Linked DNA regions of Sus scrofa. The protein of the gene in region 1 purifies or fractionates together with the protein of each later gene. This does not show direct contact. Links are inferred from orthologs where the notes say so. Each region holds a gene or a part of one and is shown in the gene's direction. Other genes may lie near its edges.

Region 1 (4,514 bases):
AGCCAGATACCAAAAAAAAAAAAAAGTTCATACTGTATAATTTTATTTTTAAGAAATTCTAGAATATATACAACTTAAAAGGGCACAAGGAAACTTTCTGGGGTGATGAAATGTTTCATGTATTTATTTTTAACGGTGTGGGTTCCACTAATGTATGTCTTTTCCCCTCTCTCTTTTTATTGGAGTTTTTACTGAAGTTTTGTTGAAGTAGAGTTGATTTACAAAGTGGTGATACTTTCTGCTGTACAGCACAGTGATTCAGTTCTACGTGTACACACATTCCATTCCCTTTCAGATGCTTTTCCCAGCATGTATTTTTCAAAACTGTTTTAAGGGAACACTCAAGAGCTGAGCCTATCGCTGTTTATAAATCTTACTTAAAATTGAGAAAAGACCATTGAAATAGTATTGTTTATTTTAAAAGATTTATATTTTATGGATGCAGGGTTAAATATTTACAGATGAAAAGACATATATAATTCTTGGGATTTAGTAAAAATTGGGGGAAGGAGTAGTGATAAATATAGGGAATAGACAAGAATGCAGATGCACGTGGTTGACTGCATTAGAAAACAATGGAAGGAGTTCCCGTCGTGGCGCAGTGGTTAACGAATCCGACTAGGAACCATGAGGTTGCAGGTTCGGTCCCTGCCCTTGCTCAGTGGGTTAACGATCCTGCGTTGCCGTGAGCTGTGGTGTAGGTTGCAGACGCGGCTCGGATCCCGCGTTGCTGTGGCTCTGGCGTAGGCCGGTGGCTACAGCTCCGATTCAACCCCTAGCCTGGGAACCTCCATATGCCACGGGAGCGGCCCAAGAAATAGCAACAACAACAATAACAACAACAACAACAACAAAAAAAAAAAAAAAGAAGAAAGAAAACAGTGGAAGCTGGGTGATATTCCATGGAGAGTCCTTTATTCTATTTTTGTTTTTGTTTTGCTTTTTAGGGGTGCACCCGCAGTATATGGAAGTTCCCAGGCCAGGGGTGGCTGGACCTGTAGCTACTGGCCTATACTACTACTACAGCCACAGCAACACCAGATCCCAGCCCTATCCCTGACCCACACTGCAGCTCATGGCAATGCAGGATCCTGAACCCATTAAGTGAGGCTGGGGATGGAACCCGCATCCCCACGGATACTAGTTGGGTTTGTCACTGCTGAGCCACAACAGGAATTCCTATTCTCTCCATTCTTGTATGTTTGAACATTTCCCATAATAAAAAGTTGAAAAGAGAGGGATCATCTTGGTTCCTCTCCCTTTACAAGAGAAAACTGAACATAACTTGTATTGGCTCTCAAAGCCAAAAAGCAAACCAACTTCCAAGTTTCCTTCCAAGTTCCCCAGGAAACAAAATAGGAGCGTTTTTAGAAAGCCTACTTTTTAAAAGGGCCGACCATCAGTGCAAGGAGTAGGTTAAGCAATATATATACTTGCTTCCCATCTCTTTGGGTTTCAAACTGTTGTTTTTGTAGATTTAAATTACTTTTTACTCACATTCCAGAATGTGAGTCCAAGGATCAGAGAAATTCCCCCCCACACACACACAAATAAACACAAGACAAGCAAAAAAAAAAAAAAAAATCTGCAAAGACCTGTTTTTTCCCCTTCCAGTTCTAAAAGCATCCTCCTATTCCAGGCAAAGCAAGCAGAGGCAGTCTGTTAGGGGGAGGAGCTTGGTTCTCCATTCCGGTGTGATCCAGGAACAGCTGTTTTCCCTCCAGCTCTGAAAGGTGAAACTGTGTCAAGCAATGCAAAAATTGTCTTGAAGCTCGTGCATGTGTATGTCTGTGTGTCTGTGTGTGGGATGGGGTAGCCTGTCAGCCCCGAGGACAACGTGAATCAGTAGTCGGAAAGGTGAGTGGTATGTGGAATCTCTCTTTTCAGAAGGGGCCCATGAAATTGGATATGACGGTTCAGGAGACTCAGTCACTCTGGATTTATCTCTTCCATCCAGGAACAGGAATCTGGAAAGTAAATCCCATTCTGAGAACAAAACGCCTTACAGCCGCTGGGTTTCGACGGCTGGGGAATATTTATTCCTTGATCCACTGATGGGAAAAATCAGCGTCTGGCAGCCGCTGATTGGTGGAAAGAAAATGGTGATAGTGGGGTGGGAAGAGGATTTGACGAGCCTCCTCCTGCCTCCTCAACCTGTAACTCATCCTTACTAGTCGCCTCTCCACCTGCCGGACCACTTCGGGCTCAGGAGAGGTTAAGAACAAACGTTAAATCCGGAGAATAGTTAAACAAAAGCTTCGTTAACATTGTGTCCTAAGGACCCTTCATCCAATTTCAGTGATGCGAGGGAAACCTGCGCTTGGTCCTGATGCGGGTACCTTCCGAAGCTACCTGTCTCCTTTAGCAGCTCCCCGAAAGACTGGCGCTATTTTGGTGGTAGAGCCCTCAGACCCCACTTCCCCGGGCTGGCTCATGACGTGGGGGTCCGCAGGAAAAACCGGGGGGAAAGGCGGAGACTGGGAAGGAGGGGGGATGGGGAGAGAGAAACAGACATCAGACATCAGCCCAAGCCTCAGAGCTCCGGATCGCCGCCAGAGCCCGGGCGCCCCTGAACTTGAGGTGAACCGCCCAACACCCCACCTTCCAGTCTCCCAAGCCCAGGCGGGCGGCTGGCGTTGGAGGTACAGCCTCCCACCACCCCCATCCGAGAAGAGGAGTGAAGTGCACGCGGCGGGGAAAGCAACGCGCGCAGGGAGCGGGGCGGGGAGCGGCGCTGACAAATCCGCTGCGGGGGCGGGGAGCGGAGGAGAAGGAGGAGGAAGACGAGGAGAAGGACCGAGACCACTAGAAGGGGACCCAGGAGAGGGGGCGAGAGACAGAGCGCAGCGACGTGGGGGTGAGGTGTGTGCTGGCTTTGGAGCAGACCCGGGGACCGCGCCTTGCCTTTGGCAGCCTTGGCGCTCTTTCGCCGCCTTCCCTTCCTCCCTTCTTCTGCCTGGAATCCTCTCGTGCGGGGGACGGGGAGTGGCGATTCGACGACAGGTTCGCGGGTTCCCTCCCACGCCCCCAGCCTCTCCCCCCAGGGTTGTGCCGACAGCCGCCTCCGCTGAGGGCCATCCCTCTCCTGGTGCCGCCTCCACCCTTCCTGTGCGCTCCTATCCTCCTCCCTCCCATTTAAATAATATTTAGGAATTGTTTTTAAAATTTTTTAAGTGGGTGCGGGGAGGATCGGAGTTCTCAGGAGCCAAGGGAATCAGGTAAGTACCTGTGAATCTAAGTGGGCAGCTTGGGAAATCTTGGAGAAAACCTGGTGGGAGAAGAGTCATTGCGGCGCCTGGGGGGGGGGGGGGGTTAGTGCTGCGGTGAGGACCTGCCATAGTCGAGTCTCTCTTAGAGGTGGGCACTGACCCCTTTGGTGAGCTTGAGGAAAGTAAATTGACTCGGCTTACCTCTCTTCTCGTCCTCAAAGGCTGAGCGGTCTGGATTCTCCGGGATACGCTTTTCCTTTGGGAAAGTCGAGGATGCTCGAAGGATTATAACTATTCAACTTTTATTTCTTACTTTCCTTAAATCCCCCAGCCCACCCTCTCTGTTCTCTCTGTAAAGTAAGCAAGCTGTATTGGGCAAGCCTTTAAATGGAAGCGCAGAGAGAGCAAGTCAACAGGTGGGAAGGGGTTAACAGGTGCTGGGCGCCGGGTGGGTGGCGGGTTCAGCGGGCTAACTCCACCTCTGGCAGCTGGCGCGCATCCGGAGACTGCCTGCAGGTGTGAACGCTCCTGCTTGCCTGCTCAGGGTAGACAGCTGAAGGTGGGGTACAGCGTCCAGTGGGTGAGAGCCACTGCAGGTGGGCTTGCAGTTGGCCTGGGGTTCAGCCACACCCAGAGTGAGTGGTTCTCTTCCCACCCCTCTTCCTGATCAACCTGTTAGCTGTTTGGGGGATTTATTTTGAGTATCTCTGACCCCCCCTCCTCCAGCTCCTTTTTCCGTTTCCTGTGATCTGTCTTCTAAACGCACTTCTAACTTAACACCTTCATCGTTTGGACCCTGGGAAATTGAAAGGGGGGAGGGGGTAAGTCCTTTCATGTAACTCCACTTGGAATGCGGTGAGAACAACTCAGATGATTCATCCCAATCCATGTTTAGGAGGCTAGACTTCCACCAAACAAGATGGATGGGAGATGCTAAATTTTTAATGCAAAAGCTAAAAAAAGGCTGCTTTGTCCAGTGGTTGAAACAGAGGTACACCTACAAGAGTCCTGCATTTTTTTTGGGGGGGGGCGGGGGAGTCTACTGATCTTTCAGTGATTTTTACCTTGGGTGGTTCTAATTTCGTTTTGTTTTACCCCAAAGTTCTCAAAGTGTATTTTGTGTTCTCCAGTGTGGTGTAAAGGAATTCATTAGCCATGGATGTATTCATGAAAGGACTTTCAAAAGCCAAGGAGGGAGTCGTGGCTGCTGCTGAAAAAACCAAACAGGGTGTGGCAGAAGCAGCGGGAAAGACAAAAGAGGGTGTGCTCTATGTAGGTAGGTAAGCCCTAGATGTCAATTTGAAA
Region 2 (4,646 bases), on another chromosome or scaffold:
CATTTTACAGATGAAGAAACTGAGACTCAGAGTTAAATGACTTGGTGTTAAGGAAAGGACACTGGCCTGGGGATTGGGAGAGCTGGGTCCTCATCCTGGGGCTGCCACATACTTGCTGCAGGCTTTGGGAAGCCCCATCCTGTCTGTGGGTTTGGCTTCCCCTCCAAGGGGGAGGGATTGGACAGGAGACTGGTTTCTTTCCCAGCTCGGAGCTCTATGGCTCCCGTGGTCCCAGTCCTGGTAGGAGATCCTACACTGACCACTGCTTTCCAGACTCCTCATGAAGGGCTCTTGCCTTTGGCTGCCCTGCCTCCCTTCCTCTCAGGACCCAATGCCCTGTCTTCTGGTATCAGAGGCTTATGTATGGATTTCTCAGAAATCATTGCCATCAGGGGCCTCCACACAACATCAGGGGTGTTTCTTGCTGGCTTTCTCTCTCTGGTGTGACAAAGGCTCTGTCCCTGCTCCAGGCGTTTCAGGCCTCAGTGAGCAGCTGGGGCAGAGCCGAGACACCTGAATTAGCGCCTGGCTCCACCACCCACTCACCATCTCTGGGGAAGGTGGTGACCCCGCCCTCTTCTCCCACGCTGCTTGAGAACCACAGCTCGGCTGCTTTGCTAATGATGTCTCAGGAGAGGTTTGCTTTATGAATATGCTCCCGAGGGTCCAGGGGGGCCTGCCAAGCTGAGAGCAGCTTCTGGATGTGCACCATCTCAGGAAGGAGAGACCCCCTTCCCGTTCTGTTCAGGGAAGTGGGCGAGTTCAGATTAGCGGTTCTGGGGAGGAGGTGCAGGGCACGGGGGTTCTGTTTTGCAACAGCTTCAGCTTCTGGGAAAGGGTCCATTGTGTAAGACCAGCTGGTCCAGAGCTCAGGGCAGCTGGCCGAGTGGTGGTGGGAGGACCTTGGCAGACACCCTGCTGTGGGCTTAGAATGTGCTAACCCAGAGGTCTGAGGTCCTCACTGCCTCAGACCCTGAAAAAGCAGTTTCAGGAGGTGTTGAGGCTTAGAGGCGGGCAGGGGGTAGGGGGGAGGAACTGCTGTGATTGATTGGTGATGTCTGCTGGGGCAGGATGGGTGATGCACACAGCAGCGGCCTGGACTGTCTGCACTCTGGACTGCAGTCCCCACTTTGGCAGGGGGAGGACGGGAGAGGCCAGATGAGTGACCCAAGAGAGGTGTTTTCAGAGTTTGTTTGATGTGAGCAGGTATCAGCAGATAGATGCCCTGCCTGGATGCAGACAGTATTGTGCCTTGCTCAGGCTTAGTCAGCTATTAAGGGTAAAGGGAGGAGAACGAGGAAAAGGGGGAGAAGGAGGAGGGGGACAGGGGGAGGGCAGCTTGGACCTGAGCCTGGTGGCTGTGACTCTGGAGTTCTTATATTAGGCTGCTGTCCTGTGGTTCCTGCCTCTATCTACTCCTTCCACTTGTCCGTGGCAAGTCTGAGCCTTTCTTGTCACTTCCCCAGATAAAGGGCAGTGGTGCCAGCTGAGGGGGTAGCCGAGGGCAAGGCCTCTGCTGGGCGCCTGGGAAGCCGAAGCCTCTGCAGGCAGCAGGCTAGAGCGGAAACCCCCCAGGCTGCCTGGCTGTTACCATGACAGTCCCTTGTTCTCTACAAACAGAGGCGTGCTAGAATTCCAGAACTGGAGAAGCAGGCGAGATGAAGACTCTGCTGCTCTTGGTGGGGCTGCTGCTGACCTGGGAGAATGGCCCCTGGGTGCTGGGGGACAAGGCCATCTCGGACAAAGAGCTCCAGGGTAAGTGAGCCTGTGCGCCTCCTCACATGCTCCCTCCCCGTCCTGGGTCCCAGGGTTAGAGAGCACCTTTCTCCCTCCTGTGCATCCCGTCGCACCTGCTCTGCCCCAGCCTTGCTGAGGCCTCCCTCGCCAGCCTGGGCTTTGCTGTCAGCTTGATTTCAAGGCAGTTTCAGGTTGTTCTCAAGCCCTTTCTGGCTGCTGCACCTCACTGGTCTGTTTCCCTCCGAGCCTGGCACCCACACCTCCTCCATGAAACCCCATGAAGCCTGGACCCTTGGCGCCTCTGTGGCCTGCCGTTTCTGAGTTGCCGGGGCACTTGTTCCCTGTATCCATCCCTTTCCACCTAGGAAACCAGTGCCCTGGATTCAGGAGAGGGGAACTCTCATTCCCTAAGAGGCTTGACATCCTTCAGAGCCCCGCTGGTGGTCCCCTCTTCTGCCAGACCTTTCCTGAAACCTAAATTCCCTCCTCCCCACTCTGTCCTAGCAGCTGACCACTGCAGGGCAGTAGTTAAAAACCCTGAGATCAGTTCTGGGTGGGTGTCTGGCTCCACCCTCCCCAGCTGTCTGATCTTGGGTGAGTGTCTTGATCTCTTTATCCTCATTGGTGCTGTGGGGTGAGGACAGATGGGCATGTTAAATAAAATGCATAAGAAGTGTTCAGCTTTGGAGTTCCTGTCATGGCTCAGTGGTAACGAATCCGACCAGTATGCATGAAGACGAGGGTTTGATCCCTGGCTTTGCTGTGTGTTAAGGATCTGGCATTGCCATGAGATGTGGTGTAAGCCACAGACACAGCTCAGATCTGGCATTGCTGTGGCTGTGGCATAGGCCGGCAGCTACAGCTCCAATTTGCCCCCTAGCCTGGGAACTTTCATATGCTGTGGGTGTGGCGCAAAAAAAAAAAAAAGAGAGAGAGAGAGAGAAGCGTTCAGCTCAGCTCCTGGCTCAAGATCAGAAACGTATTGGCTGTTATTTTCGGAAGTTCATTGACACTGTCTCATTGCATTTGTCACCCTGCTGTGTCTGATCACAGTCCCCTCGAGGAATGGTGTTGTTAATCCACAGTGCTTCCTGTCCCCGTCTCCTGACACCATGCATTGGAACAAAGAAGAACACATGCGTGCTTAAACTCAAGTCCAGAAAGACTTGTATCCAAAGTAATAATATTTACATTTTCATGCTTAAGCAGTTACCCTTGAAAATTTTCTTCGGCAGCCAATTAGGCTGCTTCTCCAGAGCCCTGGAGGTGGCCTGGGTTGTCTCTCCTCTGGGGTGTGTCTCTCTGATGGTTGGTGTTTCTGAGCAGGGTGGGGTGTAATGGATGCTCCTCGGTCCTGGGTCTGCAGTGAGCCCTGTGATGGAACTTGGGTTGGCAGAGGCTGGGCCCGAAGGCTGCCTGTCAGGGGCTCCTAGGCTTGGCAGCCCCTAGACCCACTGGCCTTTCCGACCCTTCCAGCTGGTTCCAGGCTTATATCCCCAGCACCATTCCTTCCTCTCGCCCCATCTACCTCCCTTGCGCTTTTCTTGCAGAAATGTCCACCGAGGGGAGTAAGTACGTTAATAAAGAAATTAAAAATGCCCTCAAGGAGGTGAAACAGATAAAGACCCTAATAGAACAATCAAATGAAGAGCGCAAATCACTGCTCAGCTCCCTGGAGGAAGCCAAGAAGAAGAAAGAGGTGAGGAAGAGCCAGGTGCCCCCCCCCCCCCCCCCGCCCTGACCCTCTGTGCAGGGGGGAGGGACTGGCTGTCGCTCCTCTGGATGGCCTGCCAGGTTGTCAGCCAGGTTGCCATGGCAACCCACAGTCCTTCCAGGCGGTGTCAGCTGATCCTGGGGCTGTGGTTAACAAACAGGGAAGGTTTATTTGCTTTTGAAAGCTTCAAGGGGTGAGATCTTGGATCTGGTTTTGTTACCAGCCTGGCCCAGGGCCTGCTGCCAAGATTCACTTCAGTAGATTTTGCTAGACCTTGATTATGACCAAACTCCAAGGCAGGCTTTGGGTAGGGTCTGTCACGGACATGGGTTAGGAGGGGGATGGCACCCCACCTTCAGGAAGCTTGTCTTGGAGGGGTACAGGGTATCTTTGGGGGTACAGTGGGCACACACTGCCCATGTCTTTCTAGAGTTCTGGACTACTTCATAAAGAGACACCCAGGTCCCTGGTGAACATACAAAACTAAAATTCTGCAATTCAATAAACAGCTTATTTTTTTAAAAAATCAATAGTCTCCTTAAGGGTATCCTCAAAGCCTACTCCCGTAGTCATACCTTCCCCCATGACAAAGAAGCTGTGATGGGGCCACCTGTCACCGTTGTGATCCCCAACACATAGAGTAAAAGCATTGTAAAGACTTGGAGAGGTTCTTCAGTAAAGAAACACATGGAACTTCATTTAACCCAAGTGTTTTTTTCCCAATCGAAGTGACCCAGGAATCCATTATTTTCCTCCCCAACTGTTTGTAGCAGAGCTCTCACTTTCTTTGAAGCTTAAGGCCCTTTCTTGGCATCAGTCTTCGTTCTCACGATACGCTAAGAATCCTTTTAGAGCCCATGTAGAAGCAGCCAGTCTTGCTCTTGAATTTTTACAGTTCTCCTTGAGGTTCAATGTTTGACCATCCATGTTCCATGACAAAGCACATCAAATTTGAAAAAAGACCCTATGACTTCTTAGTGGAAGAGCATGTGAACTGGAAAGAAAGTAAGAGGGCAGAATAGTTGCTGCCTGTGAATCAGCCCAGTAGGAGGTGTGTGCAGAGCTGAGGGCCGGGGACAAGGGACATGGGGCAGGGAACGATCTCACATACCCCAAAATCCTCCTGGTCAGATAGTCATAGTGTAGCTTTGCTTTGGCTGTGGATGGTCTACTTAATTCTTTGAAAACTAAGCTA
Region 3 (4,403 bases), on another chromosome or scaffold:
AAGGCCTTTAGCTAGCCAAGATGAGTTTAACGAATAGTAGAAGGATTGCAATTCAGGACAAGCCAACTAAGGCGAACCATAGGCAACTGCAAGGAGATGAAAGGAAGGCCAGCTTGTATTAGATTTTATAGGGAAATTTGGGAGGGCTACCGTGGGTTTTTTTATTTTGTTTTGTTTGGCTTTTTAGGGCCGCACCCGCTGCATATGGAAGTTCCCAGGCTAGGGGAGGAATGGGAGCTACAGCTGCCTGCCACAGCCACAGCCACGCCAGATCCAAGCTGCACCTGCGACCTACATCACAGCTCACCGCCATGCCAGATACTTAACACCCCTGAGCGAGTCAGGGATAGAACCCATATTTTCATGAATACTAATTGGGTTCCTCAACGCTGAGCTACAAGGGGAACTCCAGGAATAAGGTATTTTTAAAATATGGTATGTACTTTTTAAAACATGCTATTGCCCACTTAATAGACTATAGTGTAACTTTATGTGCACTAGAAAACCAAAAAAAGTCCTGTCTTCCTTTATTGCATAGCTGCTTTATAGCGGTTGTCTGGGACCCATGTGTTATCTCCCAGGTACACCTGGAGATAGGTCTGAATTATGTGCTCAGCGGTCACACTAATCCTGTGGATGCAGAAGCAGCATTGGAATACTTAAAAAAAAAATTGTTTTTTGAGAAACTAATACACGTGAAATTATCCATCCTAACCCAATTAGTCACGGGAACAGGTGATGAAGCTTGGGAAGACTTTGAAGAATCCTAATAGTGCGGAGGAGAATCCTAATAGTTCGAGAAGGAGCTCCAGGAAATAGGAACAATGCAAAGGGAGACCCAGGTCCACACAGGCGACGTAAAGAAACAATTCTGTTTTGCTAAATTGTGTGTTTAAAGAAAGCCGCCACGGCTCTCTAGACCGCACAACACGTCCACGCTGAGGCACAAAGCGGGTTCATTTCAGGGTGCGCCCGGGAGCACTGTAGGGGTACAACAGGCAGGCGAACCCCAAGGTTCTCCAAGCTGGGTTCGGCCGGATGTGACGGAACGCGAGGCCCGCGCCCTATCTCTACGCAGTGCGGGGCTGAGGATGCGGGGCCGAGGATGCGGGGCCGAGGATGCCGGCCGGGCGGCGTGCGCCTGCGCAGTGCGGGGCCGAGGATGTCGGCCGGCGGCGTGCGCCTGCGCGGTGCGGGGCGAGGATGCCGGCCGGCGGCGTGCGCCTGCGCGGTGCGGGGCGATGGCAAGCCGGACGGCGTGCGCCTGCGCGGTGCGGGACTGAGGCCAGAGCCTGGGGGCACGCGTGCGTACTCGGGTAGATTCCCGTTTAGTCCGGTTCTGGCCCAGTTGTCCTCGCAGGGACCAGAACGGGCCGAAGCGCTGCGTCTGCGGGAAGAAGCGAGGTTCAGGTCGGGGCCTTGGGGAGCGCGGCGCGTGCGCAGGCCGTGGCTCTGGGGGCGGCGAGGGGGTGCTGAGCCCCCGCTGGAGGGTGGCGGGGCCGCGGAAGGGAGCGCCCCAGAGGGTCCGCAAGGCTCAGGGCCTTGGGGAGCACGAATGGAATCAGGCGGCCTCCCGGGGTGAGCGGATGACGCCTTCGGCCGCCGGCGTGGTACCAGCTCTACGGCTGCGAAAATTTGCGTGCATACCGTCCCACCCGCTTGGGGCTAGTTAATCTTGTGTTTGCTGACGTCATTTTATTATAATCCGTTTTGCACGGAAAACAAACTCTAGAAAAAGAGTAGGCTATAAGCTGTTCAGACCCTAGCTTAGCAGCTCTCCTGTGTAAGAGAGCTAAGTGCAAAGAGAGACAGTCTAGCAGGATTGGGTTTAACGAGGGGGATTCCCATCTTAATCTGTCATTTAAGAAAAAAAAGTGTTCAAATATTTAACACTGTTAACCCCCACCCCGCCCCAGAATTTTCAGTGCAGTTATTGGAACTAAAAAAAAAAAAAAAAAAATTCCTCCAAAAATTTCAGGGGCTAATAGTTAAAACCTGTGTATTTCGTTTTTTACCCGTGAAAGTTCAGTCCCGTCCTTGTGAACTAGTGCTTGAAAAAGGAGGCGTTTTATCTCCCCCGCATTGTGTGAAATGCAAGACCTAGGAACTTGGGTCTTGGAAAACCTCATCTGTGATATGTTATTGGAAATTGGATTTAAAAAAAAACAAAATCTAAGCAATAATGACACGTGGTGGCAACCTTACTGTGTTTTCACCTCAAAGAGCAGCAGCTGAAATTCTTTGGGAACCCTAAAGTGCTTCTTCCTATTCATTTGTGCTTGTCTATCAAAACCTTTCTGTAGGAGCACTTAGTTACTCTGCTTAAAAAAGTTTCTAAATTGAAAGTTTTTGGCTCTTAGAGGGTGAAAGTTTTTCCGAAATCTTTTTTTTTTCTTTCTTTCCAGTTAAGTCTTCAGAAAATACAACATAAGAATGGCTTCTAAAAGGGCTCTGGTCATCCTGGCTAAAGGAGCAGAGGAGATGGAGACGGTTATTCCTGTAGATGTCATGAGACGAGCTGGAGTAAGTCCTCCAAAGTTTTCTAGCCCTCCTCCCTTTTAAAACATTTTTTTTTTTTAAATTGATTTTTGTCATTTTGAATGGAGTAATGTTCGGTGTACTTTATGAAATATTTTAAAAGTACACGACCGTACAGAGACTACATAGAACCAATTACCTGTTTATACACTTTTCCACGTTTAGTACTTGTTAACATCCCATATTTCTTACAGACCTGTTTTTTTGTTTTGTTTCTTTTTTTTTTTTTTTTTTGTCTTGTTAGGGCCACACCTGAAGCATAAGGAGGTTTCTAGGCAAGGGGTTGAATCTGAGCTGTAGCCGCTGGCCTGTGCCACAGCAATGCCAGATCTGAGCCGCATCTGTGACCTATACCACAGCTCACAGCAATGCTGGATCCTTAATCCACCAGGTGAGGCCGGGGATCAAACCTGCATCCTCATGGATCCTAGTCAGATTCATTTCTGCTGAGCCACGACAGGAACCCCCCTGTTTCTTTTTTTTTTTAAATTTTATTTAATTGAAGTGTAGTTGATTTACAGTGTCGTGTTGGTTTCTGACGTACAGCAGAGTGATTCGTATGTGTATACACACACACACACGTTCTGTTTTGTATTTTCTTTTTCATTATGGTTTATTATGGGAAAGTGAATATGGTTCACTGTGGTGTACAGTAGGACTTTGTTGTTTATCCATTGTATGTGTAGTAGTTTGCATCTGCTGAGCACAGACTCCCAATATGCCCCTCCCCTTGCCCCTCCCTTCTGGGAACGCAAGTCTCTTCTCCAGGTCACACCTGTTTCTTGAAGAACAAACGTGTTTTAAAGGAATAAAGCATCCTAAAGCCCTGTTTGTAAATTTCCCTAATCCTATTCCCCTTCTGGGCCTGGAGATCAAGACTCTTCTCACACTAAGGTGTATCCATCCTGTGCATGTCTTTCAAGTAGCATTAGGCTCCAGCTCTCATTTTGTCTGTATTATAAACCTGTATCATAACATTGAATACTTACATAGCTTGTACTGCATACTGGGTGTCATTCTGAGCACTTGCATTCTCTTAAAATGTTACAACAACTCTGAGTCGTAACTCTGCTGTTGCAAGTTACACCAAGGGCAATAATAAAAAGTTATTGCCATCCTCCTTTTACAGTTAAAGAAATGGAGGCACAGAGACATTATTCCATCCATCCATCAGTCAGTGAAATATTTAAAGTGCTCATGCTGTACTAAAGATACCGATCTAGTCTGCTTAATTTAAAATTGCTGCTCAGTATCGCACCACAGGAAGATGCCTGCACTGTCCTTTCTTCTGTTACATCGCTTCACAGGATTGTCACGCTCTGGGACAGGATTCCTTGTTCGGAGTGTGGAAGTTCTCTAGACTCTGAGCCTAAAAGGACGTGCTGGTCAGTTGGTCGATGTTATTGGATTCTGTCAAACCATCCAGAATACTAGCATGTGGGAGTTCCCTGGTGGTCTAATGGTTAGGACTCGGCACTTTCACTGCTGCAGCCTAGGTTCGATCCCTGGTCTGGGAATTCAGATCCCACATCGAGCCGCTGCTCACCACCGCCAAAAACAAAACAACAAAACAGACTAAAGTGCTGATACCTGGGCCCACAAGCCTTGAGGAAAATTCCCATTTTTCTCAGTATTTTCTACTTTATACATTTTTGCAAGGTAGGGTAGTATTTTGTTGTTTTAGCTCACGTCTCTACCTTACAAAAATCCCGTGAGGTTTAAATGGCAACAGCACCTTGGCAGGTGGATTGTGGATAGAATGATCATATTGATTGATCACCCAAACCAGACCCCTTGGTGGGAGGAAGGACATGAGGCAGACAGAGTGCTGGGACAGCATCACAGGCAACGGGGACAGACCTAGA
Region 4 (4,622 bases), on another chromosome or scaffold:
ATCCCCAAATTCGTGTTGAGACCCTAACCGTGCGATGGTCCCAAGAAGTGGGCCTCTGGGGGGTGAGAGGTCACAGGGCTGAGCCTCGCGAATGGCACCAGGGCTCTTACGAAAGACTCCAGGGCGCTTCCGTGTCCCTCTGTGGGGACCTGACTTCCAGCCTCCAAGCTGTGACCCTCATGTGCAGGCCCAGCAGCTGCCCACCCCGGGCACTTTGCTGTGGCAGCCAGAGGGGCCTGGGTCCCGGGCCCTGCTGTCAGGCCTCAGTCCAGTTGAGAGCCGGCACAGCCCTGTTGAGGGCACCAGCCCCTGACCAGGAGGCTGTGGGAGGCAGTGGGGCATGGTCTCCAGGGTGAGGCGGGGCTGATGGGCGCTCTGCGCGCCCAACAGAGGGCCACGGCTTGGGTGACTCTGCAGAGCAGGGACAGGTGGCCCAGATAGGGTGCAGAGTCGGCCTGTGTGGAGCTTACCCTAGATGGGCGGGGGACAAGCAGCTGGGCTTGGGTCAACGGGGCCTGCAAGGTGCAGAGCCAGGGTGGCCGCCTACCTTGATGCCATCCAGCACCGCAGGTCCTGGGCCTGCCCGGTGGCCTGGGGACTCCATTCCTCCGGATGGTGAGTGAACAGCCCTGCTGGGGCATCTCGGCTGGAGCTGTATCGACCGCTGTAGCTTTCCAGCCGGTCCGTCGGGGAAATCGTTTTCCAATGCGAGAGAGATTCGACCCCTTGCGCTCGATAAGGGCAACGTGCACGGAGGCTCCGCTCCTTGCGGACTCGATCGGCTCCTGCGCTCCTGCGCGGGAGCGGCTCCCAGGGACGCAGAAGGACCCGCGTCTCGGCAGCCCGGATCCAGGCGGCAATCAAGTACCTCGCGGCCCTGAGGCAGTACGCGGGCCAGAGCAGAGAAGGCTGAGACCCCAGGCGCGGCGTGAGTCTGCTCGTCAGGGGCGGGCAGGGGTCACCAGGCGCTAGGGACGGGGGCAGGACCCAGTGTAGGATCCCCGCCCGCTCCGCCCCAGCTCCCAGTGGGATCGGGCCGGTCCAGGGTGTCCTCAGGGCACGGGACCTCGGGAGGGGTGGCCGCAGGGGGAGAAGACAACGGACATCTGGGTAGAAGGGTCTGGGCAGACGCAGGGGGAAGAGAAGCATAGGCAAGACCAGCTCGGCGCCCTGGACCCCGTGCTGTGCCCGCGCGTCCCGCCCAGCTCCCTCCCCACCACCGACTGCTCCGCCGGGCTCCACTGGGGCTCAGCGGAGGCTGGGCTGTGGGAGCCCCCCAAGGCAGATGCTGGTGCGTGCCGCAGCCACAGGGGCTGCAGTTTAGGGTGAGAGGAAGACAGAAAGCCACCTGTCTCCGTCCTAAGAGGCCTGGGACCCGGCGGTGTCCCCTCTCCCAGGCGCCCCAGGCCCCAGACGTGCAAGGCCTGGGGCAGAGCGCGCTGCTGCGGACAGCAGACTGGCGCCCTCGCTGAGACCCAGCGGTCGGGTCCCGAGGGCGGGGTGCAGGGGCGTGGCCAGGCTCGTCCTCCGCCCACCTGGGGCGGTACAGAGGCGGAGCCAGGGAGGGCGGGCGCCCCGGTTGGCCAGCGGGGCCGGCAGGGCGGCAGGATAAGAGCCCAGAGCGCAGCGAGACCGGAGCGGAGCTTTCGCGGACACTTGGCAGCAGGACCAGTGGGACCACCTACGGAGCCGAGGCCGGGCGCGCAGGTGAGGCCGGGCCACCCGTGGGCCACCCTCCCCACCAGACGTCCCCCTGGGGATCCTCCGCTCCTTTCTCGGACCCCGCGGCTGCAAAGGGCCGGCGGGCACCATCGGGGCGGGGGCCTCCGTGTCCTGAAGGCAGCGGTCTTTCCAGAAGTCACCCACGGCTGGGGTGCACAGCGCACTGCGGCCATGCCATGGGCGGTCTAAAGGCGAACAGTGCCCGAGGGGTGCGTGCGCTAGAGGGCGCGGGCGATGTTCTCCACCCCGGGCTCTGTGATTCGGGCAGGGGGCCGCCCACAACCCCAGCTTCCCTGCAGCGCTGGCCCCCGGCCCTTGGCTGTTTGTGACTGATTCCTTCCCGTTGAACCAGACCTGGGAGGGGTGAGGCAGACGCGAGCCAGGGCTCCCCTGTCCCAAGGGGTGGTCTTCTCAGCCAGCGCTTCTCCTCACAGCTTGGCCTTGGCTTTTCCAGATGGGGGAGGGGCGCGGGGTTGTGGGGCTCTGAGGGCCCAGGCCGAGTGCAAGCACAGACCAGAGCTCTGCTTGCCAAGTGCCTGGTTCGCTTTCTGTACCCAAACCTGGCCTCTGAGGTCGGGGCCTCAGGAACGCGGTGGGCTCCCCTCAAATGCCCAGCCTCGTTTTCCCTGGCAGGTGGGCCCCGATGCACCTGCAAGTGCTGCTGTCAGAGCAAAAAGGCTGGGACCTGCCGCCTGTACCAGCCCAGCGCCCCCCACGGGACCCCGGCCAGGCCAGGCCCTCGTGCCCCTCCCACGAAAGCCCTTGCCCTGGGTTTCGTTCGTCTCAGGAAGGTGCTGAGGGTCTGTCACTGAGACGAGCTGCGTAAATGACTGATGGGCGTTTCTGTTCAAACGTGGATGCGGAGGAAAACGTCCCCATTCCTGCTGCCGTCCTGCCACCTTCTGCTTCCGGGGGGGTGTGCGTGTGTTTGTGCGTGTGTGCCTGTGCATGAGCACACTCGCGGGTGCCGCTGAAACGTCCAAATGCCAGGAGGCATGTTGGACGCTGCCCCTGGCCTCGGGCGCCCGCCTTGCTCTTGCTGTGACAGGTTTGCTCTGTTCTCCTTGGTTGTGTTTCCCAGTCCCACGAGCTAACTGGGAAAAAGCTGCTGGTAAAAGCTGCTGCCTCAGGAGCCAGTCCCGCACACCCAGGAGATCCTGCCGCAGGTTCGGCCCCTGCCGGGCCCTTCCAGGTGCGGCCACAGGTGGGTGTGGCTGCAGCCATTCCTCGGAGGAGACGCGTCATCTTAAACTCGGAATTCCTGTGGCTGCCTTGGGTTTTAAGTTGTGCTCTTTACTTTGGCCACTGAGTAGAAACTACGTGTGTGCGCTGTCGTGAAGACTTAGGTGGGACACTATCTGAAGATGGTCCACTGACTCCCCGGAGTGGGGGAGGCTGCAGGGGACGTCTTGCACTATAACTCAAAGCGAATGGGAGATGACACAGCACCATCCTTTGACAGGAGGGGAGAGGGGACCCGGGGGTGGGGGGCAGAGCGGAGGTCTGTCCTGAGGCCCCGCCCCCCGCCTGCCTCCTGCCCTCGCCCTGGCTGGGTCCTCCATCCAGGGGGCCTGGAATGTGTTCATTCTGCCCCAGGAAAACGGCCGGAAGCGCCTCGATCTGCTCGTGCCCCCGCCACGCTGTTGTTCTGGCTGCTCAACCCTTGCTCTCCTGTGTGTGCTTCTTTTTCATGCCGGCTGAAGACCCAGAGGGAAGATCTGCTCGGGGCTCCTGCTCCCCGGATGCCATGAGGCACAGCAGGTGCTCCGTGGCCCTGGTGTCTTCCGCGGTGGCGCCAGCCAAGGAGGCCAACGCCACGGGCCCCAAGGCGGTGGAGCTGGTCCTGGTCAAGGAGCAAAATGGGGTGCAGCTCACGAACTCCACCCTCCTCAGCCCCCCGCAGAGCTGCGCCGAGGCCCCAGATCGGGAGACCTGGAGCAAGAAGGCCGACTTCCTCCTCTCGGTGATTGGCTTCGCCGTGGACCTGGCCAACGTCTGGCGGTTTCCTTACCTGTGCTACAAAAATGGTGGGGGTGAGTGCTGTCCCCCACCCCACGCCCTCCTGCCAGGGGCCAGGGCCAGGGGCAGGGCTCTGGGGAGTGAGGGCCACCCTCCTCACCCTCCCACCGTGGCCAGGGCCAGGGGGTGCTGGGGCAGGGCTCTGGGGAGTGGAGCCATCGCACGGCACAGCCTCCCGGGACAGACATGGTGCTCAGAGCCGCCCCATCCCCTGACCGCCTCCCCAGCTGAGCCCAGAAAGCAGAAGCCAGGGTTTGGAGCTGGAGGGGCCACGGCCCTGCCTGCTGGTTCCGAAGGTGGTTTCACTTTGGCCGACTTAACCAGCTGACACGTGTGCAGAGGCCCTTGAACTTGGAGGAGCCGAAGTTGTCCCAGGGACAGGCCCGTCTCCTCCCCTCCCCACCTCACCCCTGCACGGCCGGGCCTGGAATTGCCAGATCTGGCCTCCAGGTAGAAAACTAGGAAACAGGCCAGGGCTGCTCAGAAATTCAGGCTGAGACATTAGGCTGGTGCTCGTTCCTGTGAGAGGCCTCAATGCGGCCGGGGGTCAGTCCCTGAGGGGCTTCCAGAGCCCCCGGTGGGCAGATTCCCTGGCCCCCTTTGAGGCCTAAGTGGGTACAGAAGTTGCCCCAAGACAGGCAGCTCTGTGGGTGTCCCTGCACCCCTCCCAGAAAGAGAGCCCCCCATTTGAGGCAGTGTGACCTCAGGAGGGTCTCAGGAGGCTGAGCCCAGGGGCCCTGGACTTCGTGCTCAGAGTGCAGTGTGGCTTTGAGAGGAACTGGGTGCCGGGGTGGGGGGGAACCCCAGCCCCAGGGCAGCGCCCACCAGCAGAGAGACAGCTCAAATGCAGAGGCCCAGGTAGGGTCAGACCCCGAAGGACT

The links.
Region 2: the proteins of SNCA (region 1) and CLU purify together in Homo sapiens (affinity purification with western blotting; 3 studies listed by BioGRID and IntAct, with this or other methods). This does not show direct contact. The link is inferred for Sus scrofa from reciprocal best matches to the Homo sapiens genes SNCA and CLU.
Region 3: the proteins of SNCA (region 1) and PARK7 purify together in Homo sapiens (affinity purification with western blotting; 3 studies listed by BioGRID and IntAct, with this or other methods). This does not show direct contact. The link is inferred for Sus scrofa from reciprocal best matches to the Homo sapiens genes SNCA and PARK7.
Region 4: the proteins of SNCA (region 1) and SLC6A3 purify together in Homo sapiens (affinity purification with western blotting; 6 studies listed by BioGRID and IntAct, with this or other methods). This does not show direct contact. The link is inferred for Sus scrofa from reciprocal best matches to the Homo sapiens genes SNCA and SLC6A3.

The regions. Positions count from the first base shown.
Region 1 is NC_010450.4:129,246,069-129,250,582, forward strand, and holds the start of SNCA (alpha-synuclein), read left to right. Parts: upstream 1-1,655; 5' UTR 1,656-1,733; exon of another isoform or gene 1,734-1,857; intron 1,858-2,490; exon of another isoform or gene 2,491-3,218; intron 3,219-3,335; exon of another isoform or gene 3,336-3,357; intron 3,358-3,706; exon of another isoform or gene 3,707-4,030; intron 4,031-4,107; exon of another isoform or gene 4,108-4,200; intron 4,201-4,339; 5' UTR 4,340-4,364; coding exon 4,365-4,485; intron 4,486-4,514. UniProt on the Homo sapiens protein: Neuronal protein that plays several roles in synaptic activity such as regulation of synaptic vesicle trafficking and subsequent neurotransmitter release.
Region 2 is NC_010456.5:11,345,990-11,350,635, reverse strand, and holds the start of CLU (clusterin precursor), read left to right. Parts: upstream 1-1,643; 5' UTR 1,644-1,658; coding exon 1,659-1,755; intron 1,756-2,790; coding exon of another isoform or gene 2,791-2,914; intron 2,915-3,287; coding exon 3,288-3,436; intron 3,437-4,646.
Region 3 is NC_010448.4:68,627,927-68,632,329, forward strand, and holds the start of PARK7 (protein deglycase DJ-1), read left to right. Parts: upstream 1-1,400; 5' UTR 1,401-1,410; intron 1,411-2,405; 5' UTR 2,406-2,433; coding exon 2,434-2,523; intron 2,524-3,983; exon of another isoform or gene 3,984-4,055; intron 4,056-4,403. UniProt on the Homo sapiens protein: Multifunctional protein with controversial molecular function which plays an important role in cell protection against oxidative stress and cell death acting as oxidative stress sensor and redox-sensitive chaperone and protease.
Region 4 is NC_010458.4:79,184,495-79,189,116, forward strand, and holds the start of SLC6A3 (sodium-dependent dopamine transporter), read left to right. Parts: upstream 1-1,619; 5' UTR 1,620-1,707; intron 1,708-3,425; 5' UTR 3,426-3,469; coding exon 3,470-3,755; intron 3,756-4,622. UniProt on the Homo sapiens protein: Mediates sodium- and chloride-dependent transport of dopamine. Also mediates sodium- and chloride-dependent transport of norepinephrine (also known as noradrenaline). Regulator of light-dependent retinal hyaloid vessel regression, downstream of OPN5 signaling.